Schizosaccharomyces pombe: one gene and its partners. Changing the gene in region 2 together with the main gene of any one other region gives a genetic interaction. Each region holds a gene or a part of one and is shown on either strand. Other genes may lie near its edges.

Evidence for each region.
Region 1: of psc3 (region 2) and erh1, a mutation in one rescues a mutant of the other (synthetic rescue), as found in Schizosaccharomyces pombe (one study listed by BioGRID).
Region 3: of psc3 (region 2) and mmi1, a mutation in one rescues a mutant of the other (synthetic rescue), as found in Schizosaccharomyces pombe (2 studies listed by BioGRID, with this or other methods).
Region 4: of psc3 (region 2) and cut1, extra expression of one is lethal in a mutant of the other (dosage lethality), as found in Schizosaccharomyces pombe (one study listed by BioGRID).

The regions. Positions count from the first base shown.
Region 1 is NC_003424.3:4,064,818-4,069,457, reverse strand, and holds erh1 (protein erh1), read left to right. Parts: upstream 1-2,486; coding exon 2,487-2,515; intron 2,516-2,599; coding exon 2,600-2,621; intron 2,622-2,639; exon of another isoform or gene 2,640-2,672; coding exon 2,673-2,730; exon of another isoform or gene 2,731-2,805; coding exon 2,806-2,835; exon of another isoform or gene 2,836-2,966; coding exon 2,967-3,071; exon of another isoform or gene 3,072-3,129; coding exon 3,130-3,200; downstream 3,201-4,640. Other genes in the region: decaprenyl diphosphate synthase subunit 2 Dlp1, read right to left, coding at 1-702; ubiquinone biosynthesis protein Coq9, read right to left, coding at 1,272-2,024.
Region 2 is NC_003424.3:2,033,999-2,042,496, forward strand, and holds psc3 (mitotic cohesin complex non-SMC subunit Psc3), read left to right. Parts: upstream 1-2,296; 5' UTR 2,297-2,404; coding exon 2,405-2,669; intron 2,670-2,714; coding exon 2,715-2,827; intron 2,828-2,865; coding exon 2,866-2,961; intron 2,962-3,009; coding exon 3,010-3,419; intron 3,420-3,469; coding exon 3,470-5,069; intron 5,070-5,117; coding exon 5,118-5,522; 3' UTR 5,523-5,616; coding exon of another isoform or gene 5,617-5,887; 3' UTR 5,888-5,933; coding exon of another isoform or gene 5,934-6,302; 3' UTR 6,303-6,350; coding exon of another isoform or gene 6,351-6,406; 3' UTR 6,407-6,546; downstream 6,547-8,498. Other genes in the region: WD repeat protein Cdt2, read right to left, coding at 180-1,652; SPOM_SPAC607.02C (uncharacterized protein), read right to left, coding at 5,617-5,887, 5,934-6,302, 6,351-6,406; U3 snoRNP-associated protein Snu13, read right to left, coding at 6,938-7,297, 7,448-7,465; arg82 (inositol polyphosphate kinase), read left to right, coding at 8,492-8,498.
Region 3 is NC_003421.2:336,588-343,518, reverse strand, and holds mmi1 (YTH family RNA-binding protein Mmi1), read left to right. Parts: upstream 1-3,406; 5' UTR 3,407-3,951; coding exon 3,952-4,036; exon of another isoform or gene 4,037-4,164; coding exon 4,165-5,124; exon of another isoform or gene 5,125-5,171; coding exon 5,172-5,287; intron 5,288-5,340; coding exon 5,341-5,489; exon of another isoform or gene 5,490-5,533; coding exon 5,534-5,690; 3' UTR 5,691-6,431; downstream 6,432-6,931. Other genes in the region: TOG/XMAP215 microtubule plus end tracking polymerase Dis1, read right to left, coding at 1-167, 435-485; SPOM_SPCC736.13 (dehydrogenase), read left to right, coding at 1,731-2,750; ago1 (argonaute), read right to left, coding at 6,507-6,931. UniProt on the Schizosaccharomyces pombe protein: RNA-binding protein that recognizes and binds N6-methyladenosine (m6A)-containing RNAs, a modification present at internal sites of mRNAs and some non-coding RNAs.
Region 4 is NC_003421.2:639,822-649,602, forward strand, and holds cut1 (separase/separin), read left to right. Parts: upstream 1-3,587; 5' UTR 3,588-3,990; coding exon 3,991-6,080; exon of another isoform or gene 6,081-6,119; coding exon 6,120-6,421; intron 6,422-6,462; coding exon 6,463-6,757; intron 6,758-6,795; coding exon 6,796-9,595; 3' UTR 9,596-9,757; downstream 9,758-9,781. Other genes in the region: taf5 (transcription initiation factor TFIID subunit 5), read right to left, coding at 324-420, 471-735, 785-953, 1,010-2,103, 2,317-2,623. UniProt on the Schizosaccharomyces pombe protein: Caspase-like protease, which plays a central role in the chromosome segregation by cleaving the rad21 subunit of the cohesin complex at the onset of anaphase. During most of the cell cycle, it is inactivated by securin/cut2 protein.

The DNA of each region.
Region 1 (4,640 bases), 2.0 Mb from region 2:
TCCATAATTGAAACACGCATCATTAATGTATTGTGATGAGTTATTCAATATGCTTGCGCATAAACATGCCTTTGCTGGCATAAAGGCTGATTGCAGAAGGATGGTTCGTTCGTTTGACAAACCAACAGAGCCATTTTGTCGGCTTCCGAAGTGCCCTTCAACTAAGTTTGCAATAACAGAAGCCATAATTTCTGTAATAGCGTTGTTTTCTAAATGTGCTAAATCAACAGACGCCTTTCCGAGTAAATAATCTCCAACCAACGTTGCAAGTTTAATCTGTTCGTTGCTTTGTTCTTCTCCAATATTAATATGAATTATATTGGCAGCATGAATCAATTCTGTTACACGGGCAAGTTGTTTGTACCTTTGAAATAGTTGCTGACTCGGTGGATCCCCATTTACTGATGCTCTAGACATTAGAAGTACAAGAAGCGGATGAAAAAAACGAGTTGAAGATTTTCTGTATGGCTTCGTAATTTCATCTAATAAAGGATTATTATCTGTCCACGTATTAATTTGACCATTTAAAGAATCCATTTCTTCTGTAAGCATTTTTAATAAGTCAGAATGCCAACGGGAATCTCGTGATAAAACCCCTACAGCTTTTAGCAGAATGGAAGACCAGGAACCAGGTTTTTTTAAAGATAATAGAGAGCTTATTGCAGAAGGCCTTTTCAGCAAACTAGCGAACGGAAAGCTCATCCTTCATACAATAAGTGATGATTTCACACTTGAGTAAAAAGATGACAAAGGCCTTGTAGAGGTATAGTAGGGTATCAGTAATTTACAACGCTAATGAAACGAGAGACAAAAAATAGTGGGATGCTTTGATTGCTACTATGTTTTCATTTTTGGAGTTCTTTAACTACGCCTGTGTCTTGTCAGTTTTAGCTAATTATTTCAAAGTCACAGGTTACCTCAGGAAGAGTCAGAATAGTAAGTTCAAGGTAGTAAAAAAACAGAATATACAAGTAGTAAAGGTAGCATTAGTCAAAGTGTGTGTTTCTATTAAATGTTTTACTGAAGTTAATTTGTTATCAACCCGTGAATATATAAGGATTTTTCTATAGATTTTTTTAAGGTAAACACTGTTCAAATGAAGTTTCGAATCAAAGAGTACATTCAACAATAACTACCGATATATGGAGAAAACAATTAGCCAAAAAAACTTAAATATTGTAGGAAATGAAATTGCATTTATTTCTTGCATAACGTAAAGTTGAATCAAGCTGATTTGTTAAACCAACAAGCAAAAGGAGTAGCAGTGAATTTTAAATTCCCCTTGAACGAAGGATTGATCTCACAGCATTCAGCTGAAAGGAACCCCATTCCAAGACATCGTTGCGTAAGTCATTTAAGGCTTTTGCATGTTGAATGCGATGTTGAACAAAGTTATAAGTCGCCTCAAAATTAGGAGAAGTATCACGACTCATAAATAACTCAGATGCAGAGTAAATGGCAGAGATAGCAGCACGTTTCGTGTACCATTGAAAATCGGCTGACTTATCTTGCGCGAGGTAAAGAATCTCATCTGACAGTTCAGCCAGAGAGGATAATGATTTTCGCAAGTTTGAAGGGTATGTACAAATTGCAATCATCTGCGGAAGATGCTGAACAATATCCCTATTTCCTTGCAGACGAGACCAAATAAGCTGGACAACACGTCCAGATGTTTCGGGGATAGTGGTCAAATGAGGCTTTAATGAACTAAGAGCGTAGCGCTGCTTCAGGAAAAAGTACGAAATCAAATCCATTGGACCAGAAGGAAAGAGGGCCTTGGAGAGATTACTATAGCCAAGGGCCTGACCACCTTGCACGATTGCATCTTCCGTGAACCCCAGTTGAGGAACATGTTCAAGAGCATTTTCTAAAATTAAAGCCTTCTTTCCGGATATCTTAGAGGTTTCGTAATTTTCACTATGATAGCCTCTCCTTCCTAGAGCGGAAATGACCGTTTTGGAGATGCATTTATGAAGTCCCAGGTTTTTTGTTGTCAACTGACAAGCACTTCTTAAAGTCAACATGTAAAGAAATAAAAAAAAGAGTCAGAAAAATAAACAAAATAGAAAGAAAGGGTCTTTCACTAAGCAATTCGAAGGAAAGAGATATGGGTAAAGAGGTGTTACGAGTTATTCAAATCAGCGAGTTAGATAAAGTATATAGTAAGATTGGAAGATGACTTCTAAAAATAATTATAATATTTGAAGTATATTAAATTGTGAGAACTGCAAAGTAAACGAACTGATAGAGTGCGTGACGGATGCTACTGTAGAAGGAAAGCGAAATCGCTACTCAATAACTGTGCTACCCACCTGAAAGTACAAAGAGTCGTTCTGACAATAATTTGTGTGACAATAGCAAATAATTTTCAAACAGATAAATTGAAAATAAAAATAGGGTGATATTAAGCTAGACGGTGTGTTTGAGAGGCGGTCTTAATCCTTGCTCGATAAAAACAGAAGATACTTCAAAATACTTGGCTCGTAATGTCGCCTCCACCAGCAGAATCTCATATGTATGTTCCCCGAATGCCAGAAAAGCTTCAAGACACTTATGTACACTATGCAAGGGCTATTCGCTAACTAGATTTTGCTTACAGCATTTTATTAATACAACAAGGAGTATGTCATTAGATTGTAGGATAATTAAAGATTTCACTAACTCCTAATCAGTCGGATCCAAAAACTCGTATATGGAGCGACCATTGCAGCTTGCGTTCTGCTATTGAGTGTATGAATATTATCTTTCGTCCTCCTTGTAGAGGATGCGCTACTTATTGGAAATCATTTGTTAACGTGATATTAGATATAGTCGGTGTTTACCAAACAAATCAAGGTACGTACGATTTTTGTTTTTCTTTTTTGGTTGGAAATTTCAGTGACGATGAACTATGTTTTCCCAAGTCCCGGATTGAAAACTCAGCTTTACCGTATGAAAACTTGCATTAGACTGACGTTTATGTTTAGCAGTCAGCGAAAAGGAATCTATTGATGTCTCAAGGTTTTTCAACTTTTTCGACGAGATCTATGATTGCGTTCCTTTGGTATACGATCGGCATTTTCGTGCATATAGTAAGCAGTTTCTCTCATTTATCAGTTTGATTTTGATACTAATAAATTCTACTATTAGTTCCCCATGAAAAGCAATGGTTGTTACACCATGCTCAAGAATATCTCACAGCTGCTAGACAGATCCCTTAAAAATATCGAACACCATATTATGCTACTCATTGCTATGCTTTAAATTTCAAAATCAAAGAAAAAATAGAACTAAGTTTTTCTAAATTAAAATCTTTATCAATGCACTAGGAATGGCATTTTAGCAGCTGCTTTTCACCTTTGGAATCAGCAACCAATATTCTAAGAGGTTCAAATTCTATTGTATCATGCATTAGCTATATTCTATCTTTAACAATTATTTTTCTATTCTTTTTTTATAAAATTTAATTGTTCTAATAAATGGCATTTGTCTCTTAACTTTTAAACCCAATTGCAAATTTTTTTTTTACTTGTCATGTTTTTTCCTCGTGCAAGACAAAGGACCAATTCCATCCGTTTTGCCAGCCGCTATTGTATTGTTTTGCCCTTTTTTTTAATTTCCAGTGCTGGGAAACTGTAAAACAAACAGCATAGCCACTTCTAAGCCCTCGTTTGAAGTAGTCAAACCGGAAGAAACAAACTTTTGTACTTGCTAGACACTCGATCTTTGCTGACATTTCTTTATATATATATATTTATTTATAGTTTTTTTTTGTATCGCTTTCATCTTCGCCCTCGCTCCTTCCAGTTTTGCTACACATTATAAGGTATATATATCATGTCGGTATACTTGCCGAGCAACGTTCTCGGGTTATAGAAGAATAGCCCTAGTATAGTGGAGCTAAATCACATAATGTTGTGTATTTTGACCCATTTTTGTCACGGAAACCGCTTGGCCAGTTACTTTTTCAATTCGTACCAGGACGAATTAGTCACAATAAAGCGAATGCATATTCATTGTTTCACAAACTAGCAATACAAGATAATTGTCTAGGCATTATAGATTTGCTACCTTGAGTTTTGTGTACTTTGCTTCTCAATTTTACTCTCCAAAGATAAATATCCATTGCTTCTGCAAAGAGTTAGTCAAGTACTTGATGACTGCAAAACAATTAATAACAAGAGCGTGTTTTTATATTTTATACTGTCTGTTTAAGGTTTAATTGAATCCAATAATTCAACTAAGAATAACTTGATCCACATGTTTACCTTTCTTTTTGTTTAATAAATATTATCAGATGTGATTTTCCTGTTTGCTAACTGCAAGCGAAGCTACTTTTTTCATTATATTTCGTTATTAGCGTATAAAGACATTGTAAAGTATTTGCAGCGATATCTAAGGAGGATTGCGAAGGGGCTTAGAACATGATGATTCATGCGAGGCGTCTGCGTCACGCTTCTGGACTTATGCTTAACCCTTCATATATATAGCGATTGTTGCCTGCCGCTTACTTTTCTCCTTAACCAAGCACACATTAACGCCATCGAACCCTAGAACCAGTAAAGTGATCTGAAGAGGGAAAAGCAGCAAAACGATCGTAAATACGTTTGTTTAAGAATTTGCTACTTTTTGTGGTTTTCTGTCTAGTTATTTATTGCGAT
Region 2 (8,498 bases):
AGCAAAAAAATGACAAATCAAAGGATTAAATAGATATGGAAAAAGAAAGAATCCTAATAATATTCAAATGCATTAGGGAATAGTCGTTATTTTTGACAAAATATTATGAAGCCTCACTTATAGTCTTCTTTTCAAGAGAAACAAGCCGAATATTGAGACATTGCTATGCGTGATAATTTTCATTTTTCACTAAATCCCCAATAAAAAATCTCCGAAAAATTCTTTTCTCTAAGGTTAGCCGCACTTCCATGCAGAGAAGAATTCCATACGCGAACGCTCCCATCGTCTGAAATACTTGCCAATTGACCTTCACTAGACCAATCAACTGCAGTAACATCCTTAGTATGACCACCTGTGAGCATAGCAGACGATGAACAGTTTCTTGTTGTGTCAAAAACAACAACACCACTAGTCTTGTCTTGAACGCCTCCACCGCAGGCTAAAGTTGCTCCGTCAGGACTGCACGCCAACTTTACGTAGAATGAAGAAATTCTGAGTCTAGGGTCTTTGTAAGTCTTGCAAAATCCGGAGTTTAAGTGACGAGATGAATATTCATAAATGATACTATCTCTGGAAGCAGCATAAATACGCTCACCGTCAGGAGAAGTACAAACATTAGTAACACCAAAATCGCGTTTTGAAGTAGTTAATTCGGGAGTAGTAGCAGCAGGTAAAGGTCGGACGGTATGTACAGTTCGTAAATCCCATAACTTTAAGGCCGAGTTTGCAGAGCAGGACGATATAACTTGCGAAGTAGATTGAGGGAGCCACGTAGCTGAGGTAATTGAGCAATCCCTTCCCGAATTTTCATGTGCTTTTCTTATCCTTAACACTGGTTTCTGAAAATGCTCACCGTCAATTGTTATCCCGTGTGTTCGCATATCCCAAAAGATAATGGAACCATCCCGAGAACAACTTACCAAATTATAAGGAGAATCATTGCAAAAATTAACCTGCTTTACTGAATGAGAGTGGTATCCATCGACACCTCGTCGTCCCAATCGAGTGATGCATTGTTGCGTTGACAAATCAAATACCTTTGATGTTTGATCGCCAGATGAAGTAGCTAATAATGAATCATCTTTAGAGAAATTAACACTAAATATAGCATTGTTGTGAGCAAGCCAGCCATGGATTCTTCGAGCAGACGGCTGATTTTCCTCATTCTGTCTATCGTAAAATCGAGAATCAAACAGCTCAAGAGCTCCAGTCTCAGTACATACGGCCAATAAAGACTCGTTATTAGCAAATCCAAGACAGAACGGGAGTTGGTTCAGCATCATTAAGCATTCCGAAGGTCGTGAGTAATATGTTTCGAGATTGAGTCTACCTCCCACATGACGAGAAGTTTTTGTGCTAAAAGGGTGCGACCGGGAACCTCCCAGTTGTCTGATTAAAAGTTCTTTACAAAGTTGAGCAGGTTTTTTTTGAATATGAACTGGCTTGTGTAACAGGGGTTTCTTTTCAAACACAATGCGTTTTCGAGGTGTTTCAATTTTTCCTCGGCTTTCTAGGAAGTCGTAAAGCTTATGTTTTTTGGAAGGTGCTGCGGGAGAAGAATCAGGAGTCGGAGGTAATGAGTTATTTGCACGTGAGGTAATATCTCGAAGCCCACCAACATCACTCAAAGCTTTTCCAATGTCCATATTCATGGTATAATCATGAATCTTAATTTAATCCGCTTTTGAGGTCGTGTGTTCCAGTTTAATTTAAGTAGTGGATGGTAGCGTGAGTATATTAGATTTTCGTGACGCGTGAACGCGACGCGTCCGTGATCCATCACATGCACCAAACGTTACCCAGAATATGTTAAAGTAACAAAACGCGTATTTCAAAGTCATGTTTAAGCATATTTGCAATTACAGATGGGTACAGCCTAAAATTCTTGAGGAATAAATAAAAAGGATAAAAGTTTTCTAATTACTTGTTAATTTTTCATAAAGGATGACTTTCGTATTTCTGCCTATGATATAATGAGCGCTCGAAAAGTTGTCAAATATCTCATTTATTAATAATAATCGAAAATATTACGCGTCAAAAGAATCTTTCACTCACAATTCTATACTTGTATAGTCAAATTACAATCTCAACTCGCGGAGTGAATATAAGTTAGCTGTTCACCTTGCAGGACCCAAAAGAAAATAGTATATATTTGTTTCAATCAAGGTAAAGAAAATTTTAATGTAATAACTTCGTTAAGTATAAATTTCCTTTCGTATCCTTGGATTTTCAAACACATTTATCCTGTCTAACACTATTGAACAAGACAAGTTCGTGCTTTTATCAACTACAGGTTGTGAACAACCTCCATTGTACAACACCAATAGTGCATTCATTACACTCTTTCCAATATTTCTAATTACACCTCTTAATTTATTTATAAATTATTTCTTTTTTTCTTCAAATGAGTGAGTCTGTTACTACTGGATCTGATGATGATGGAGGAGACAGAGAATCTTCCCCTGTAATGCTTTCTCAAAGTTTTGATCCCATGAGCAGTAGTTCAAATTCATCTTCTGAAGAAAATAGCGATGATGATTACGAGAAAACGATAAGCTCAAAAAAACGGCATCCACGGCCAAATTCTAAAGGAGTAAATGTAAAACGCTCTAGGAGGAACGCTATAGTTGAAGAGGATCCTCAAGAAGAAATTTTTAACAACTTATTTGGTAATGATAAAGTCCTTCTTTTTTTCAGCTACTAACACTGAAAAGCTTTTCTGCTTGACCAAAAAGTTGATACCATGGACATCGCGGTTTCGTGGTTTGCTGACTATGCAAAAGATAATCAATCTGCCCTTGCAAATCTTATTAACTTTATTTTAAAGGTAGAGTCATTCTTTTCTTTCTTTACTAAATATTTTAGTGCTGTGGTTGCAATCGTGCCATTAATGTGTTTGATGTTCAGGATCAAGATTCTGCTTCAGCTACTCTATCTCAAATTCAACTTTCTGTAGAGCGTGTAAGTGCTTTTGCGAAAATACTTTATTTGTATATTAACAACTTTAAGACTTCTACTCGTGATTATCCTTTAAATTCAAAAAATCTTAAGTTTAGGAATTTCAGAAAGAGATTGACCGGTCTTTTAAGCAACTTTGTGTCACAGTTGTCAATAAGAAATTACTTGTACAATAGCACTGTTTTTGAAGATATTATGTCTTGGGTCGTTGCCATGTCTTCTTCTACGATGAGACCTATTCGGCACACCGCCACTGTTTTCTGTTTGAATATTATGACTTTTTTATGTGAAAAATCTAAAGAACTATTGAACGAGCATGCAATTGCTACCAAACAGCTCGAGAAAGAAGAAAAGCGCTCTCGTGTAAATAGAAATCGCATCAACGAACTTAATAACAGTCTTGGTGAAATAGTCAAGCAACAAGATACATTGACTACATACTTAAATGACTACTTTGATAGGTAAAGATCCCTCAAACGCTTTAATTTATTTATACTAACCTTTATATTAGTGTCTTCGTCCATCGATATCGAGACGTGGAGCCTAAAATAAGGGTAGATTGCTTACAAGAGCTTGGGGTCTGGATTAATACTGTTCCAAGCATATTTTTTTCAGGAAGTTATTTAAGATACCTAGGATGGATGCTTTCAGACATAAACACTACCGTCAGATTAACTGTAGTTAAAGTTTTGCGCAAATTTTTTGAGACAGATTCATTTATTGGTGGATTAAGACATTTTTCTTCTAGATTTAAAGAAAGAATACTCGAGATGAGTTGTGTGGACGCCGATATTGGAGTTCGTGTAGCCAGCATTCGTTTGTGTAACGCTATGAGGACTTGCGGATTTTTAGAAAATTCTGAAATTTTAAAAGTGCTGAAGCTAATTTTAGATATCAATCCAAGGGTGCAACGTGAAGCCGTACTGTTTTTATGCAAAGTGGTTGACGAAAGTGTGAATGAAAAAATTGATTTATGGGGTGAAGAAGACTATATTCTAAAGGCCTTTTCTCAGACTTCACTTACTACATTTTCAGTTCATTGGATAAAATTTTCCCAAATGTGTAAACTTTTGGAGGAGGTTAGATTGTCTTACCAATCGAGCTTTGATTATGATACATTATTACGAATCTTCCAAAAAAATGGTAATTTCATTACTCCTATAACACAAGCTTTACTTAATGCATGTGAAATTGATTCAATCTATCAGTCATGGGAGGATATTAGCAACTTCGTACTTTTTGATAATTATACCTCGACTCTAAAAGATCCGATAGACAGTATACTTTCTTTCTGCAAGCTAAATGATTTTCAGGAATCTATTCTTTTACAGCTTCTCTCTGCTTCAATCCAAACTGTCTGTAATAACAATTTTATCACACCTAAAACGGTGCATAATAAGCAAGCGGCGGAAACGACCAACGATCAAAATAAAGATAAGGACTTACTTTATTTGAATCTTCTTCCTTACATTAATTCAATAACTGAGAGAAATTCTGCTTCACCAACACTTCTTCATGATTCTCTTCGTTTGTTATTCTCAATGGATTTGACAGAAATGACAGACCCTCAACTTTCCAGACATTTTGAACTTCTAATTAATAATTTAAAAAAATTTTTCCTAACCAATAATGATCTTCAAATTATTCAAGGTTGCACGATATTATTTTTACGGTTGGACTCTATTCCTGCTTTGAAAGAAGATTTGAAGCTTCTGGTTACTGACATTTGCGACCAGACGGTAACCGAATTTTTAAAGAATTTTGGATCTTTTAATATTCAAGATGCTGTAATAACAAAAGATGAATTTGTTATTTTTGAAGCTTGTTTAACAAGAATCGAGGGATGTACCTCTCTCAAAGATTTTTCTGACTATCCTGAGTTTGACATAATATATGAAAGGCTTGTTTCGCTTCTTTCGCGGGTTCCTAATAGCTATGAAGATACATTGAAGTTTTCTGCAATTAATACTTTACAGAGTCTATTGTTTTGGTTCTTTCTAAGGAAGGATAACCCTGCTGATGAGGAAAAAAAGAAGGATGATGAGACTAAAGTTTTTAATTGTTTGATTAATATTATGAATAATGACAGCTCTAAAATTTTGCAACTTCAGGTATACAAAATCAACTTATTATTTGATTTAAGAAACTAACTTGACCAGGCAGCCCGAACTTTTCTGGAAACAGTGATAATGAAAGAAGGTGTTAAAGCATCACATTACAACGATGACAATCGTGTATCTGAGGAGCATAACTTTTTAAAACCTCAATTTTTAGATGCTCTTTTAAAAATACTTGAGGGATGGTTATACACATATGCCAAAGTTGGTCAATTCCCCTTCAAGCGTTTGACTCAAGCAAGTTCTCCACATACACAAATTTCTTTGGACAAAAATCCACTTAATAGAAGGCTATTGGAACATGTATGTTGCGATTTGACTAGTAAATTATTAATAGTTGTTTCATTGTCAAATACGATAACACCAGAATTTTCACAACAGTTTTGTGAACTAAGAGGGCACTATGGACCGAAATTATCTGCTATTGTGGATGAGTTTTTGAATTAATTAAATTTAGATTTAATGCCTGCTGTATATTTAAAGTAATTAATTATTTTTAAGTCAGCATTAGAAATAAATTCTTTTTTCATTATTAAAAAGATTATTTCCGCTTGGTTTTCATTAATTCTCTATATTTCTCTATAAGTTCCAAACGCTGCTTTCCTAGAGCTTGGCGTCGTGCCATAGATTCTGTTTGACCCATATTATTAACTTTGGGAACATTTTCCAAGTACTTTGTCTCTTTAATTTTTAATTCCGGAAGTTCAGGAGGAGCTTGCACAGTTTCTCCAAAGGAAGGTTTTGTTTGTAAATTAGCCCACGGATCAGGCGAATTTTTTCGTTTTTTTCTAGACTCAATTTGGATAAATTGTCTAATATGTTAGTTTATACGAAATGAAATTGGTGATATACACATACCCAGTAGTATCCGCCTCCCATGTTTTATCTTCAAAATTTTCCTCAATTTCATTCCAGTCTCTTTCACGCTTCTCTTTTCTTTTCGCTATTTTTTTCTTTTCTTTTTTATCAGTAAATTCGTCTATTTTGCTCGGCCCAGACTTAAAAGATACTGGAATAGCCTTATTTACGCGCTGACTAAATTCACTAAGGCGTTCACCGGGTAATCTTTGAATTTTCCCATAATCTTTTTTTTTCTTATTTTTAAGGTTGCCTTTCTTTATTTCCTTCTTTTTAGATTCATGGTACTCTTTTTGCTGTAGCAATCGCTTGAATTGCTTTGGGAAGTTGTCATCTACACTTTCATCCTCCTTGGGAGCATGATCGAGTCTATTAACCAAATGTTAGTAAAAACATCTTGCTATAGAAATTTTTTACCCAATCTTTTTCCGTTCAGCCTCAAGAACGGACCTTTTCTTAGTCTTAGTAGGCATATTGCGCTTGGATAGTAAACACAAACGAGAAGCAAGTAATAAAGGAAAATAGCGAGCCTAGCTCGTATCGCAATTTAGATAAATTTGGATTTGTTTTAATAGATACTCATGGGATAACAGTAAAGTTTATTAATGAATACAAATATCTTTTTTTATTTTAGTGGACAAGCTGTAACGCTTTAGAGAGAAAAAATTTCAGAATCAAGTTGGAAGCAAGCTTAGTGAAGATACTTTTCGAATCATACACGAAAAATATATTAAAAAATATATATATCAAACACCAAATATACACTATCTTTATTAAAATCGTAATGCTCTTATATGTAAACACTCAACTATCTTTCTTGTTGAGTATTTTGCGAGCTAATTAATAAAAATTAAAATGACTACAAACAGAGTACTTGAAATTATATAGAAAGCGAAACAGTACAAAATTACAATAACAAAATAAAAAATTCGATAACAATCTGCTTCCATAAGAATCAAATTTTATTCTCGATTAAAAGAAAACTGTTCCCAAAATCCAAAAGTTTAGATGAGCAATTTCTCTATTGCCAATTTAATAGCTTGAATTTGAGGAAGTAAATCACTAGCCTCATTGGTAGTAATGCTGGCTGAAATCACCGGTCTACTTACACCACAAGCACGTCCCAAAGCAGCCTTGCTAGGAACAAAAACATAAGGCACATTCTTGTCCTCACAAAGCAATGGCAGATGCAATAAAATCTCTATGGGCTCGGTATCAGCCGCCATTACTATAAATTCACTAATACCACGGTTCAAGGTTTTGGTAGCCTCATTTGCACCTTTGCGAAGCTGCTTGTAATGAGAGGCCTGTTGTACCAAGTCGAGAATTTGTTGGGTTAAGCCAGAATCGGCTAAAGGAAAGGCCTAACAATGTTAGTATGCAATAAAACGAATATAAATTTCGGAAAAGTTCATTTTCCGTAATAAAATTGCCGACGAAACTAGCATTTGAAACTAGCATGCTTTCAGCTATTTCGTAGCCAAAGAAGAAGTCTTATACCATTATTAACATACCTTTGGGTTAACTGACATTTTTTCGGGTTCCTTGCTGTAAAAAGTAGTATCTGACCTACAATGGTGGTTGCTCGCCCTTGCTAAGAAATTTTCTTTAGTAAACTTCACTTTAGCTGTAGTCCAAAAGTACAAGTAACAACATCAACGTTAGTCGATCCTTCGATCAATGTAACTTGGAAAATTAATCCAAATTTGCTTAAATTTGGAATTCTAAGAAATTTATGCACATTAATAATCTTAATTGTTTCTTGGCATTACACTATGAATATGGAGGACTCAAAACTATAAATCAGATTGGTGAGTTTATTTCTATTGAGCAGGCATTCTTCAATTGGACATTGTTTACCATATTTAACAGAATATAATAACATTAAAAAAAGTTGGAACTGCATATCTGATTGAGAGCTGTATTGTTATATAGTCTATGGACTTAGCAAAAAAGAAGTTGCTAATAATCTACTATTTAACTTTTAAATTTTAGCAAAGTACATATAATTTGTCCTAAAAAAAAAAAAAAAAAAAAAAAAAAAAAAAAAGCCCTGGTACATACTATTGAAAGTGTGTAAATTGTAATTTAGCTAAAATATTTTCCCTTAGTGGTTTGGAATATAGGTTTTTAATAATATTATAATTTATAAAAACTTTGCAAAACACTTTCTAAATAATATCCAAAAAAGTTTATACTTTCTGTTAAATTCATACTTCGATCTCCAGGCTACAACTTTATCTACTGTAAAAAAAGCTGAATAAATTAACAGCGAGTACATACACATTTGGATATGTGTTTAGGAAATTCATTGTTTTATATTATTAGATAAAATTTTACACTTATTTATTCAGCTCATATAACCTGCATGTTCGTGCAAGCAGTGGAAGTGGTTGATATAGCTCTACACTATTTCAATTCATTCTACATTCCGCTTACCCAACAGCTGTCACATCGAAAATAACGCTTCAGCATATTGCTAAACGCGTATTGCAATTTTCAAGAAATATACTTTTGACGAAAAAACATGTACTAGCGGATTTTTTCTTTAACTCTTGATGAAAC
Region 3 (6,931 bases), on a different chromosome or scaffold from region 2:
AGAGATTTTACGGCATGCTCTTGTGTTGGTACGTTACTATCACACAGCCCTTGTTTCCATAATGCTGGGTCATGAATCCAAGGCTGGAAACAAACGTCTGAATCATCCAATGCTCGGTTCAATGCATGCAACAAAGACTCATATGCTTCAAATCGAACTTTCCAAGACTAAATAAATCAGTTAGAAACCTAAAAACTTAAAATAACCCACTACAGAAGTGAGATCCATCAATACTAGGGAGAACAGGTATGAAAAGAGTAGTGACGGAAACACAAAGCAATGAGTAAAACTAATTGAAATCGTAAAATACAATGGAATTGATCAACAGTGCCCTTAATGCCGTTGCAACGATATTTCCATTTGTTTGCTTTTCATTCCAGTTACATTTTTCTGGACAGCAAGCTTCTATCTCCATTAATTTGTAAAAAGCTTACCTTATCAAAAATTTGACTGAGAATGCGGCTATTAAAATCGTCCAACTCCATTTACATAAACAAATATAAATTAACGACTCGTATGTTTACAACCAGCAGAGCATGAATAGTTATGTAAAAGAATGAATTTTATAGACAAATAGAAAAATGAAAACGAATGAAACGGACGGGATTCTAAACAGTAATGAGTATGGCTCTGAAATTGGAGTTGTACATGTGTAAATAGAGACGACTAACTTTACGGACGACAATGTTTCACTCACACAGCCAGCACCGTAGAGTTAGCACAATTCGTTAGACCATCGTATTGTTGAATATGAACGAGCGCAAGATTACACTATTAGAGCAAAATGTAAATAAAGCAGAGAAAAAGAGGAAACCATCAATAATTTTAAGTTTTTAGAGTAATTTAATTCTTTAAATAAATAACTTTATCTTAAACCGTACCAAAATGATGCTAACAGAAGATGAGCACCCAAATGGAATGTTCACCGATATATTAAGCCTTATGCAAGTTGCTTTTTGAAACCGATTAATGTGCTATTGGGTGGCTCTGTAAGATGCTTGTGATCTAGTATAAGTGAAAAAATGAATTTCTAAGACTCTTACTGAATAAAACATGACGTTTAACTCGTTTAAAGAAGGGAATCCTATAGATTGCAGATTTTTAAGTTTTCGTTTCTATTCATACCTAAGTCTAATTTTATCTTTCATTTGCCCAATCTGAATTCGAGTTCTTCAATTACAATAAGTTCAAGTTATACATTTTTAAAAGGATTCCAATATTCTGTCGAGCACCCAATTCATACATTCAATTCTAAACAATCCATATTTCGTTTTGTAAGCCAAGTAGTCAAAAGTAGCTAGTCGATGTAATACCATGCTTGATCAAATTTTCGGTCCGCAAAGAAGCCGTGTTACGCCTTGAGTTTCTTGGATTTTGAAGAAATTTGTCAGCGGTCATTGTATAAATTACGAATTGCTTCCTCTTCCGCTATCGTCACTCTTTGCAACTTATCATCTGCAGCCACCCTTACCCATATTCAACATATTCGACGAGAACGATATTTAAGTGTTTTCTAGAACTTAAGAACGCTTATTAAAAGAAAATTGTTGATTTATTCTTGAATCTGTTCCAAACTTGATCGATTGATTTCATAATCGCTACAGTTTCGAGTTAAAGACATTGGTAATAAGTTTGTTCTCTGGCCACTTCTTTGCAATAAAATCCTCCCCGCTCATTGTTTATAAAGTTCTTTTTTTTTAATTGATATTAGCTTCAAAAATTTCTTTACGATGTCCTACAGTTTTCAGGGATTGCTCAACCGCGTGAATGAGAGCGCAATTGTAAATACTCTCAAAGAGTACACCGGTCTCAATACACCCAAATGGACCTTTAACGATATTCCCGATCTTACGGGTAAAGTCGCTCTTGTCACAGGATCTTCAGGTGGCATTGGTTATGTAACTGCCCTCGAGTTGGCTAGAAAAGGCGCAAAGGTCTATCTGGCTGGTAGGAACGAGGAAAAGTATCAAAAAGTTATGAAACAGATCCACGATGAAGTTAGACATTCCAAGATCCGTTTTCTTCGTTTGGATTTGTTAGACTTCGAAAGCGTGTACCAAGCAGCTGAGTCTTTCATTGCCAAAGAAGAGAAATTACACATATTGGTCAATAATGCTGGTATCATGAACCCTCCCTTTGAATTGACTAAAGATGGTTATGAACTTCAGATTCAAACCAACTACCTTTCACATTACTTGTTCACTGAGCTCTTGCTCCCCACACTCCGTCGTACTGCAGAAGAATGTCGACCTGGCGATGTTAGAATAGTTCACGTCGCAAGCATTGCATATTTGCAGGCCCCTTATTCTGGTATCTACTTCCCTGACCTAAATCTCCCGCATGTACTTTTGGGTACTTTTGCTCGTTATGGACAATCTAAGTATGCCCAGATCCTTTATTCCATTGCTTTAGCCAAACGTTTAGAAAAATATGGAATATATTCCGTTAGTCTACACCCAGGTGTTATCCGTACCGAGCTGACTCGTTACTCACCTACCTTTGCTCTCAAATTGTTAGAGAAATCAGTCTTCCAGTATTTACTTTTGGATCCAATCAGAGGCGCCATGACTTCCTTATATGCTGCAACCAGTCCCGAGATTTCCAAAGAGCACTTGAACGGCGCTTACTTCACTGCAATTGCTCAGCGTGGTATTCTTCATCGCGCTCATGATGATGCCTTTGTTGAGGAGCTTTATCGCTATACTCATAAGATATTTGAAGATCTCAAGTATTTAGCTCCTTCTCCATAATTCTTTTGCTCGTAATCTGAACAATGATGAACGCTTCTTGAACCACTTAAACTAGTAAAGTGTTTCTACCTCCTCATATATTTTTAGTTGTCTTATGTTGGAATCCCTTTATGATTACTTTATATTAGTAATAATATTATACAATTTCGTATTGCTTAAGAACCACAAACAGCATTTCGACTTTGTCGCTACATCGCTTCTTCCCTGGTAACAGTAGGTTTGATCTCTTACTTTTCTGTCTGTCAAAGCATTGGTATTGTGTATTAGCCATTTTATCCACACTTTAGTCGACTGTATTTTAATTTACAAATCAAATATTTACTTTATAATGTTGATGGTAAATATGGAAACGACTAGTCGACATTTGACCATTCACTATTTACACTCAGAGCAATTTTTTGTTTTTTTAATCTTAAAAAAGAATCTTTCTTTTGAGTATCTCTCTGTGCCACGGGGCATTTTTTGAATCTGCCGAACAAATTTGTAAGAAATGTGAATTTACAAGGAATACTTATTAAAAAGTAAAACTCTTTTAAAATAGAAATTTTTTTATTTACTCAGTAATTGATGGTTTTCATATTCATTTGTTTTATCAAAGTACTTCGTATTCGTTATTACCCGTAATCAAATTACTCTCTCACGATTATCTGCACCTTGCCTTCTTCCAGAAATCCAACACTAAGGAGGCTACTAGTAAACCCTATAATAAAGTGTTTTATTAAACATTCAAACATTATTTTGAAAGTTGACGGGAAATAGCTAACTTTTGAAGAAAGTGAAAAGCTATAATTGGTGATTTTTGGGCTAAACATATTTTTTTTTCTTTTTTTTGGGGCTTGGTCTTCACTTGACTTACCGCTATTCTTTCAAGAGTATATCTATCTTGCTAGTTCTTGCTTTTTTATTTCTCTACTCGGCAAGACTTTTAAAGTAAACGATAGTGGTTGATATAAATTCAGTTAGTGTATTGACCAGCAATTTTGTTTTTTGGGGGGTTTTTTTGGTTCTCTCTTTATTTTTTTTTGTAAAAAAAATATAAAGCAAGGGATTTTGGTGAATATTTATTAACTTAATTTAATATTTATCACAATCTTCTGGCTTCAACTCATTTTCCGTTACTCAATTTACAAATTTTTAGCATTTTAAAGAGGATTTCAAAAAAAAAAGATTATACTTTTTATCACACATAAAAGAAATTTGAATGTCAAACACAAACTTCTCTACTTCTAGGTCATCAAAGTCCATTCCGGAACTTCCAAATTTGGAAGCTCTGCGAAGCCTGTGGCGTAAGTAGATTATTGTTTAAAATATCAGAGAGGAATGTAAAATAGTGTCATTGAAAATTGACTGACTTTTCGCCTAAAACCTCCTACTGTTTAATTTTGTCGAGAATTTTACTAACCACCTTATATAGCTCCACCGTCATTGAACGAATCGGGCGATACTAGAAGCGTATGGACTACTCATACCGGAGAGCCTGTTGCGTCAAGTGTTCTATCTACTTCAGGTTCAAACAACTTTTCTTCACCTCTGAAAAGACCTGCACCAGAGTCACATGACGCTCCTATCGGTAGAAGATTGATGGTAGATGATCCCCGCTTAATTAAACATGGTAAATATGATTTTAGCAGGCATTGCACTGACTATGGTCACTCCTACGAATGGCCTTATTTTCGATCCCTTCGTCGTGAGTCTATGCTTTATCACACTTCGGGATCTTATCCAGAAAGTCAGCCTCCTTACTCTTCTTATTCAACTGATGCTCCACATTATTATCATGCAGGTTCGGAATCCTCTGCTTACTATGATAGCCGTTCTCGTTTGCATGGCATACAACCTCCTCCCAAGCGACGCACACTTAGTCCTCCCCCTAGACGGCTTGCGGACCCAGTGGTTGTTGGAAGTTCTCGTTATGTTGAAGAAGAAGTATACAGAAGGCCTCCTTACACTTTAGCTTCTGAAGTTCCTTCATCCGCTTCAGCATACCAAGCTGGTTACTCTTCCTATCCTGTTCGATCTTCCCCCCAACTTTCTCATGAAGACACTCGTCATGGTATTGCAAGCAGTGGTTCAACAAGGTATCCTTTTGTACCTGCTAATACTCGTGCATCTCACTCCCCTAGTTTGCTTGAACCTTATGCTCACTCCCTTCCCTCTTCGGTCGCGCCAGTTGGAGCTTATCCTGAGAAATCTTCTTACCTGCTTTCTAATTCCAGCAATGATAGTGCCTCAAGAAAAGAAAAACCCAAAGCTCGTGCATCTACGCCTCCTCCATTAAATTTTTCCAGAGCAAGCGAACATAGAAATGAGAAGGGGGAACGCATTTCGATGATTAATCCCCGAGTTGTTCTTGACGAAAATGGAATTTCACACCGTAAGGCTTAGCCCATTAAACCAAAACAAATAATTCTAACAACTTAGGCTCCCGTTATTTTATTATGCTATGTGACAACGAGACTGCCATTGCTCATGCTAAAAAAACTTCTATTTGGGCAGTCAAGAAAGATTCTTCCAAAAGAATTTCTGATGCATATAAGGTTTGTCTTTTATTTCCCTTAAACGATATAGTTTTATACTAACACTTTAACAGAAAGCCAGTGTTTATTTTATTTTTGTGGCTCAGCAAACGTACAATGCTTTAGGATATGCTCAGGTAGTCAGCGACCTAAATAGCACCGAACTGCCCTTTTGGTCAGATAGCTCGCATGCTGGAGGTGTTCGCATCAAGTGGATTAAAACGTAAGTGTTGTACTTTTGAAGATTTCTTCTGCTTACCTAACTAGTTGCAATCTGTTTTCTGCTGAAATTTCTGAAATTGTTAGCCACATGGATCATGGGTCTGAAGCTAGAGATGGCATGGAAATGATGTATGATGAAGGCAGCAGACTTTGTACGTTGATTAACTATGCTATAATGAAGCGAATTGGAAGAGACCGTTGATATCTCCCTTTTGCTGGATTTTCAAGAATGTTGGATGCTTCCTTTAACAAAATTCATGAAACTATATACTATTGGAGCGGATTGATGTTAAATGCAGTGGATTTGCTTAATAAAGCATTCCGTATAGGTCGCTCATCAACATTAAAGATTTAACATTATTAAAAAGTTTTTCTGAACAATAAAAAAAATGCACACTATAATGGTGTTAATTTTCAATCTTGGAGCAAATCAGTTAAGTAAAATTATCATTATTGACTTGTTTTTGCTCCTCTAAACGAAATCTTAACACAGTATGCAATGTTTGGTTCTTGAACTTAACCCAAATACTCTAAAAAATTAGAAATTCTGATTCTCTTCAAACAGGCTGTTTTCAAATTTGAATGATTTTGCTTTGAATGATGTTTTTTCTTAATAAAAAAGCTAGATGAATCTGAATTAGACAAATAGGTAAATTGGTTGTTCAACCATTGTGCATGGAATTTATCGATTTTAATCACTTCTTCTGAGATCCTTAAGTATCATTTAGTTTATCTGTATTTCTATATTGGCGTGACACTTACATAAAGTTCGGGCTTTGGGTTAAGTGAATGTCATTAGTATTATCGTTATCAACATTTGTTGATCGTTGGAACATGGTCAAGCTATCAACAGTGGATAGAGCATAAAAAAACTAACATTAAATGATTAAAGAAAATTACAATAATATAAAGCAAAATAAAAACAGAAGCAGATTTAATAAGGAAGTAAAAGTTGTGGGCAATCCAGTAGTCAATCGTATATCTATTTCATTACTTATTGCATGCAATCCATCAAACATTACATATACCACATCTTTGTTTTCAATTTACTTGATAGAGCTAAAAGCGGCTTTACTTCTTGATCCATTGATGCTTCTGATGTCTCAACAAAAGTATCATCGGCTGTCACGTCTTGATAACGGGCTAAGTTACTAACCAAATGCGCATAATAAACAGGTGGAACCAAGGAAACAGCACTTGTTGCTCTTGCATAAACATAACAAAGATTATAACACAGTGTTTGGAATTGGTCCGGTGGCATCTGAATTTCGTCGTGCAAAACCGTGTAGTGAACTGGGACCGAAACGCCTTGCAGAGATGGGTGGGATATAAGGTAAAAATCGTACTGATAGGGGTGAGTAACATGCTTTTCAATAATTGTACCAGGGAGGGGATTTCCATTTCTATCTCCGTCGGATTTGTTCTTAATGAAGAAACGAGCGT
Region 4 (9,781 bases), on a different chromosome or scaffold from region 2:
GTTTAGCGCTGTTATGGTCTATGTAAATATTGGAGCTACTGAAAAATTTAATATATAATGTATCATCAGAAGTCCTTTATGAAGTTTATAATATTAAAAGCTTTTCCGGAACATCAAATATGAATTATTCAGCCTAATTTCGATTCCGATACATGGATGTCTCAAAGTTGTTAAAAGGCAGTTAGTTGTTGACTCATTATCGTAAAGTAAGATAATGTTTAATATTTAAATTAAATTTTTTATAATCTTTTTTTATATAATGCCAAATTTCTTAAAGTATGGACGGGAAGAAACATATTGAAGATCAAAAAAGGTTTATTTATCTAACTAACGCTTATTGCTAAGCAAAGGTTACGACGCGTAAAGGAGACATTAAATATAGGGGTTTGCTTCGTATAAAGAGCTACCATTTGATCCGGACTGTTTGAGAAGGTTAGTAAATATATCGATTCCATTACATTTTCTCATACCTTGTAGACCAATTGACTTCATTAAATGTGGATGTTTTAGCAGAGAAAGGTGTAACAACACTTCCCGTTAGAGAAGAAGAAACAGGATTGTTGTAATTAGTTTTGAAAACGTCCCAAGCTCTCACAGTACAATCTGACCCTCCGCTAACGAGGACCGTGGATTCGCGAGAAAATGACAAAGAGTATATGTTGCCTCTGTGACCTCGCATTGTCTTTATACGCCTTCCTGTTCCTATGTCCCAAAGGTGAATTAGACCTTCACTGTCTTTAATCAAATTAGTAAAATCATTAGTAATAACAAATGTATAACATACCAGCACTTGCCATAGTATGACCATCTGGGGCAATCGCAACAGCAGTTACCGGTTGGGTATGTCCATTAAAAACACGAACAGAATGTCCTCTATGTACATCCCAAAGCCTGCATGTTTTATCGCTTGATCCAGTTAGCACATAAGCGGAGTTTGGATGAAAGGTAACGCACTAAATACAAGTCAGTCATAAGGAAACACATTTCTTAAAAAAGATAATAATCATACGTCTACATCACTTAAATGCCCAGCAAAAACTCTAAGTGGGTATATATGATCACAGCTCCAAAGTTGTGCAGTCTGGTCATGAGAAGCAGTAGCGAAGTAATGACCAAACGGACCAAAGGCAACATCCCAAACCGGGCCAGTATGTCCCTTGTAAGCTACCAAAGCAGTTTTTGTGTCAACAGACCACAGCCGGGCGCTAGCATCTTCGGAACAAGATAGTAAATATTTATTATCGGGAGAAAATGTGGTGCCGTAAACAGGACCAGAATGACTCAGTAAACGTACTGAGCCATCTGAATCCTCTACAGAAGTTGACTTAGGTAATGATTTTTTGTCAGCCTTTATTGACCATAGCCGTATATAACTTTCTTGAAAACCACAGGCGATCATTGTGGAGTCAGGAGAAAATTCAGCACAGTTCATGTTGTTATTGGTGTGATGGAATGTGTACATACAAACACTAGGAAGGGAGGCTCTAGGTCCAAGATGTAATCTTTTACTCCAATCTTTCACAGCCTCAACTTCTGAAAGAATATCAACACCTTTATGAGGAGGAAGAGGGATATAATCTCTAGACGGAGCATCTTCAGCATTAGGTTCATGCAGCTTTCTAAATTCTTTTAATAGTTTTGGAGATTGGTTATTTGGATCGTTTTGGTGCATCATATCCTCTTCTTCTAAGTCCATCTCTACAATTTTTTCCATTTCTTTGTCCATTGGCATTTGTTGCAGCTTTACAGGTTGAAGTTGAGCATCTCCTCGTTCAAAGGATTGGCCGGTAATACCTTCTTGTTCATTGATAACTTTAGCATTTTCCAAGACGGTGGGACGTCCGGGAACGATATGGATATCTATATGCTGATTGATTAATTTAATGATAATTGACCCACCGTTTGAAACGTTTTCAAATAAGAAATGAAGCAATAAATCAAATGTTATCCTAGAAAAATGGAGTTGATATTTATTTTGCCGGTATTGTTGAGCAGTGCGGTCTTCTGCGACATGGCTTGGAAGACTCAGCGATTTTAAGTTTTTTACATCAAAGTCATGAAGATCAGTATGATCGTCTTTGAAGAGTTCGTAAAATTGCTTTGCTATAGCACGTTAGTAAAATTATCATTTATCCTTATAAAGAATTAAATATGGGTGGTCAAGTGGAATGAGTTTCAGAAATAAAGACAAGTTGTAAACTCAATAGATAAAGAAACTAATAAGTATTTAGAATAGTTCAAATACCCCTCTTGTTCGTAGATCATCGAAACAAACATGTAACAAATTCGTAACCTCCTCCAATATGACCAACTTACCAGCTTCATAATGATCTTGAGACAAGAGATTAAGATATGAGTGAACAAATATAGGAAATAATATCCTGTGAAGTTCAGCTTTGTACAATTCTAACGAACTATCCACCCAGTCTCGTAAGATCGTATACGTGTGTGTGTATGCATCTGGAGTTTCCTCAATGCTTTTTAACTTCTCCTCTACTGACACGCCAGAACCCGATGCTTCCAAACGAAGCATCGCCTCGGTCCTTGAGTATCCCTTCTTCGCAAGGTAATCCAGAACAATTCTGTTCAGATCCTGCGGTTGCGGCCCATTAGTGGCAGACATGGTTAAATTCTCCAATACTCTAGCTTGAAGAAATTAATTAGAATCCAAATATAAATCTACAAATGACCGTGATTCATATAATTACCTGCGCAGAGCTCAAAGCAACTTGCTAGGAAGTAGCATATGTCGAGTTCGTGTCTATTAACATACCATTGTGTACCACGCTAAATTGGGAATTTGCAGGATTTATGAATAACTGAAATTTGGAAAGGTTCCACAGTGTCTGTGAGCGTTTTGATGTCGAAATCCTATCTAAATTACTATTTCTTTTGTCCTACTCAAAAATGAACTGTCTATGAAATTGTTTTAATGTCAACACAGGATTGCGAGGCAATGAACGCTAGAAAAAAAAAATAAATAAATAAAAGTTTTGCATAGTAAAACTTTTTCAATTAGATACTTTTTAAAATTCTTTTTTGATTTTCAATTCGGTTTTAAAAACTTTCACTTACTTTTTTTTTAGAAGTTTCATCCCAATTTCGGGATGTTTATAATTTTTTAATTAAATTATAGTAGGGCCCCTTATTAAAATAAAACTAAATGTTGGGTTGAAATTTAAATAGGGAAAATGTAGAAGTTTTTTTTAAAAAATTCAAAAAATTGGGAAATTTCATATTTCCTTCAAAATCATTAGTTTATAACAAAAATTGATGTAGCATTGATAAAATGAGTTTATCAGAAATTATATGTTTTTTTTCCTGTTACAGATTTGTATGGTTTTGAGTCTTAATCGGTTTATTTATTTATTGATATATTTATTTACATTATTGAAATTTACAAATAGTAGGTTGCGATGAAGTAATGGACTGTAGATAATAACTGTAAACTATCAATTATTTACATTCATTTTTAATTATATTTAATTTTCTTCTTTACAGTTTTCTTTCTTTTGGACCAGTTTTAGGGATTTGGTGGTAAGTACTGTGTTTTCATTTGCCTTAACATCCAAAGCATCCTTGCTACCAACTAGCCTATCTTCATCCAGCGAGACGACTTGACAGTTTTTTCGTTTTAGACGAAATAAAAACCAACAGCTCCAAATTTCGACTATTGCAATGTTCTAATTAATGCTGATAATATTCTATTGGTTGGGAAGATCGATTAATCTACTTTTCATAAGCATATAATAAAACATCTACATGATTTTTAAGTCACTAATATTTTCCTCTTCTCAATAATTAGTAATATAACTTTGCGAACTGAAAATCACTGTCAAATTATTAAATCTTATATTTTGGTCGATATTTGCTATTGGCTTAGTTATTTCTTGCAACCTATTCTTCATGAACGGCGTTAAATAATTTAAATCCCTTTTATTGTTGTAACTGTTGCTGGTTAATATTTTTTACTATTCATTCGTTTCCATTATGTCTACAAGGTCAATCGTTACTAGTAAAGTTTCTTGGACTCCAGAGAAGTTCATTTCAGCTCTCAGTTATCCTGAGCATTGCTCTATTACTCTCGTTAAGCGACTCAAGGCTTCTGTAAAATTAAAGGACCTCAAGCAAAATATATCTCGTGATGCACCTTCGTGGACGTTCGAGCATTTGTTTGTGGCTTTCAAATGTGCAGTCAGTAACTTAGCTAAGCAATGGGCGGAGCTATCCACTACAGATAAGGAGAAAACTAGAAGGATGTTTTGTACACCTTCTAGATTAAATACGGCTCACCGTCCCGAGGTTTTCTACCTGTTAGAATGCTGTACATATATTCTCGAACAAATGCAGGTGGTAACCAAAAATACAAGTCATTTGTATGATTGCATCCGTAGCGGGGTTTCAATTTGTAATCGGCTCCTGGACATGGAGATTTTTGAACCAGCTATCAGTCTTTTGATGAAAACTCATAAAAACCTTATAATTTTACTGACATATCGGGACCACGATGCCATCCCTACTGCTACCCTTCTTAATCCCACTTTAGATGTTTCAGAAATCCAATTAGAAAGCTGCCTTTTTGTTCCTATGGTTCCTGCCTCTTATTTCTTAAATATAGGCACTATCGTTGTCACATTTCAGCTCAATGTATTACGATGTTTATCTTTAAGTCAAATTAACGGTTTGTCTTTGAATACAATCAATAACTTACAAAGCGAAGATGGCCCTTTTCAATGGATTGAAAGAAGCTTTCCTTCCCAGGTTCAATTGGCCAATTCGAGAAGAGAAATTTTAGCTCGTTTGTTGACAAGATTTTCCATGATACAAAATAACGCCTTACAATCGTTCAAACTTTTAATCCTCTCTATAGCTTTATGGTTGAATATTCTTTCTTCCCAGAGAGCTGACGATAAAGAGTTTGATGTAAATCAGCTTGAAACGAGAATCCTCCAACTTTTCTCAAAAGTTGTCCAATTATGTAAAAGCGAAGATATTGAAGGATCTATTTTAAATAAAGATATGACACAACTTCATCATCTTCTGGAAAATTTATCAAAAGAATCGAGGTTGCATATTTTGCTTCAACTTTCTCAACTTTATTATAAATATAATGATTTCCAATTAAGCGCTGCATATGTCATTAGAGGCTATTCTTTGTCATTTGAAGACATCAGTTTTAAATTAAAATTTTTATTATTTTCTTTTCGATTATCAATTCACGATAATAGCATTTGTTTTCCGTTCAATTTAATCCAAGAGTTGTCGTCACTTCAGCAGCTCTTTGTCGAAAATGCTTTACCATATTCAGAAGCTCTACATTTATTGGATTCAATAGAGCGATCATTTCGACTTTTCAATGACTCGACGGTTTTTGATGATACTGTATTTGCTTTGAACATATCAGAAATTTTATCGTGGATACTCTCATCGGTTGTGAGGGATATCCTTGTCGAGGATGAGCTTTTAAATCTCCAACTTAAAATAAGAAAGTTTTTGATGTTTACATTTCATATAATTAGGTCATTTAGTGAGTTGACTAAATTTCAAAGTTCTCTGGAAGGCTGTTTAAATCTCGCAGCCTACTATGAAGATGCTGAATTTCCTCAAAAGCTTTCCAATCATCTTTACAACTTGTGTGTAAAATCTTCTAATGTTAATTATGCACGTGAATGCATAAGTTTGAGTATCAAAATTGCTGTATCACATAAATTGACTAATGATGAAACATATCTCCTGAAAATTTTAAAAAATTTTCAACTTCGGTACCACGATTCTTTACAGTTGCAAGAAAAATGTGATGTACTCCATACTACATTCAATCAACTGGATCTCTATGTTGGAACTACATCTGTTGGAAAATCTAGTGTATTGGATAACATTTTAAAACGTATATTCAACTCTTTAACTTCTATAAATGATTCAAATATAGAAAAATTGCTTGAATCAATAAGCTATTCCTTGCTCAAACTTTTTTTTAAATGTGCAAATGAAGGTTCTCGATATAATGCATCTGCTGCTTTATCTTTTAAATTATCTCTTATGTTACATGAAAAAGAGGAGGTCCTTTTGCTTAAAACAAAGTAAGTATTTCTACAATTTTCTTATTTGCTGACATTTAGTGTTTCTTGCGTTTTGGCAAACCATGGGTATAATGACATTAAATTTGAGGAAATGGTTCTTTGCGTTATTAAAGGTGACCAAAATCTCCTAGAGCATAATTCCAACAATAATGCGAAATTAGCTTTAAACGAGTCGCTATTATGCTCATGGGAAAATTTGCTATGTTACAGACGTGCGGAAGACGATAGTAGGATACTTACAATAATTGAGTCGTGGACTATTTTTATATCTCGATTTTCTTCGGTCATTTCTCGTTGCTCCTTCACAGATTTTGAAATTAACTCAATTTTGAATTTTTTTTGTAAGTTTTCAATCGTAACCGGCGTTTCTAATTGTTTATAGTTTGTTTTTTACATACGGTGGAGCCGAGTGGAAAACTAACATTCGAGTTGGCTTTCCTTGAGATATTTTACGAACTTTTCAATTGTCTTCTTCATCTTCAATTTTCCAAGTATCTGGTCATCATTGGTACTTTGCTTAGTGATAAATATATGACGCTTGGCTTCTCAGGGAAAGCTCACTTGTTTTATACCAAGTGTTATAGCTATCTTCGTCAATGTAAAAGCAGTCCTTTTATAAACTTTTGGAATGTTTCTTATGGTAAATATTTGATTTTAACCGGAAATACGGATAAAGGGTATGAAGACTTTGTGAGATAGTTACTAACGAGCTCAGAATTTTACAGTTAAAAAAATATTCTCTTTCTTCTGAAGAGGATTTCAATTCAAATGGTTTAAGTCGGACTGTTAGCCTCAATCTTTTGCTTTATGAAAGGATACAGCTAAGTGATGCCCTATTTCAACTAGGCTACACCACTGTTTCTCTTGGCTTTATAATGCAAAATTTAAAGGTTATTAAGGGATTGTTTTCTAAAAGCTCAAAGGAGCATTTCAACGGCGGAAAATATATTACTTGGCGACTTTTCGCTGTCAGTGCTCACTCTAACGTTTGCGCTGCAAGGATTTATGAGCACATGGGACAGGCGCGAGAAGCCGAATTTTTTTATCGACAAGCTTGCAGTATTTCTGAAAAGATGCCGTTTTCTTGTTTTTCAGCTACCTTCCAATTGCGCTTATGCTCACTACTAACAAGGGCAGGAAAGTTAGAGAAGGGCGAGAAGATTTTATTTGATCTTACTGAGGCGATGAAAAGCACAGATACATACCATAAACTTTTATGGAATTACGGAGCAGCTGAAGTATGCGCAACAAAATCCGAGTTGGATGGTGCCATATGTCACTATTCAGAATGTGTAAAACTTTTAGAAATAATAAAGTCAGAATATTACCTTTTTTTTAATAGGAACCGCGAGAAGTCTCTTACAAAAGGAATTAAAAGACTCAGTCTTTCAAGTCAACCAACTTTTGTTACAGAATCTAATACTACTGAATTTGATGACTGGTCAATTCTTCAAAATACGGCAGCCAATTTACTTCGTCTGATTTCTATGTTTGAGTTGAAAAGAGGAAACTTGGAGATTGCAAAGGCTTTAATGACTGACTCGACAAAATGCTCAATTGCAAGTTTTTTCAACATAGTCTCAGCTAATATTTTAAAATCAAAGCTTATTGTTTGTGAAGCTGATTCCACACTATTTGGCGATCCCGTCCTACGTACTCTTCCCGATTCTGTAATTTCATTACCTGGAATTTCTCATAAATTTCAGAAAAATCAAAGTAAAACAAAAGCGCTTGGAGAAAATACAGGATTTCGCAAGGGATCCAAGCGCTTAGATTATTTACGTGAGAGGCTTAAAATCAATTTGCAGAATGTTAGATTAAGCTGTGAAATTATATTTTCTAATGCATATGAGCGGAGCTCTGTATGCGTTTGCAGGGAGGTCAATGAATTGATATCGTACTCAACAATTATGCAAAGTGCATTAACCACAATTGGCGAAACGACCGACGTCGATTCTAGTTCAGCCTCATTTTTTTTAGAGATCCCTAAAGCTCTAGGATTCCATAGACGTCGTGAAGCACAGAAATTCAGAAACCAGCACAAAGAACTTCATTTTAGTAGTTTGGAACAAATTTTAAATAGTCGGTTATCTATACCTGATGTCCGTACATTTCAAGACAATTTTATTGATTCATTACCGTCGATCTGGAATGTCGTTTCTATTACTATTAACAATTCTGGAGAGGATTTGTTCATCTCAAAAATACGCAAAGGTCATTCTCCGCTGATTTTTCGTTTACCATTGCAAAGACATAATTCACGTGACGCAGACGAAGAAATCCTTGTGTTTACAAAAGCTCAAACCGAGCTATTTCGAATTATCTCTAAAAGTAATCAGATGGCTCAGAACGGTAAACATTATACTAGAAGAGAAGACAAAGAAACTTGGTGGAAAGAAAGAAGACACCTTGATCAATGCTTGCAACAACTTTTAGAAAATATTGAAATATCATGGCTCGGTGGATTTAAAGGTATTTTCAATCCACATAAAATTGATACTTCTTTGTTTGCCAAGTTTTCCAGTCAATTTCAAAACATTATAGCTAAAAATTTTAACATGGACAAGAAAACACCTGTCCCTACACTGTCGCCTGAGATCCTAGAACTATTCATCACCTTAGGAAAACCTGGGTATGAAGGTTACGAACAGCTTTTAGAGGATTTGATTTATTTTATTTTGGACATTTTTCAATTCCGAGGTCTTCATTTTGCATACGACGAGATTGATACTGATCAACTATCTATGGATCTTCAGGATGCTCTAAATGCCTACTTCAACAATTATGTCTCTGAAGAGAACAGGAGTCATACGGTCCTTGTACTGGATAAATCAGTTCACCAATTTCCGTGGGAATCTTTACCATGCCTAAACCGACAATCGGTATCACGTGTGCCTTCATTATCAATTCTGCGGGACATCTTGTCCCAATCATTTGTCGTTAATGGAGAGTATGTTGAAGTGCGTAAAGAAGCAGGTTCATATATACTAAATCCTAGTTTGGACCTTAAGCATACTCAAGAAATGTTTGAACATAAACTAGTTGAAGGTGGGTGGAAGGGATTAATTGCTAGTCAACCTTCTAATAGAGATTTTATTAAAATGCTTTCAGGTAATGATTTTTTTCTATATTTCGGACATGGAGGAGGAGAGCAATATACAACATCTTATGACCTGGCCACTCTAAAAAGGTGTGCAGTCACTATACTGATGGGTTGTAGTTCTGGTGCTTTGTATGAATGTGGCTCATTTGAGCCATGGGGGACTCCTTTGGATTATTTGAGTGCTGGGTGTCCAACGTTAGTTGCAAACTTATGGGATGTCACCGATAAAGACATCGATAGGTTCAGTTTGAAGATGCTTGAAAGCTGGGGACTCTTTGAAAATAAGGCACCTTTTGTGAATTCAACGAGTATATGCACAGCGGTCAGCGAAAGTCGTTCATGCTGTCATCTACGCTATTTGAACGGAGCAGCTCCTGTGATATACGGAATACCTGCTTATATTATTCCATAAACTGTCTAAAATTCTTACTTCTTTTTATTTATTTGAATCAACATTGTTTCAACGCCTTCTCATATAAAGTTTCTCCTATTTAACGATTAATGCGAGTGTATCTATGTAACTAATGAAAATAATTTATTATCTATATATGTACTTTAATATCACATTTGCGTGCAACTTACAGTACTTGGGTAGCAA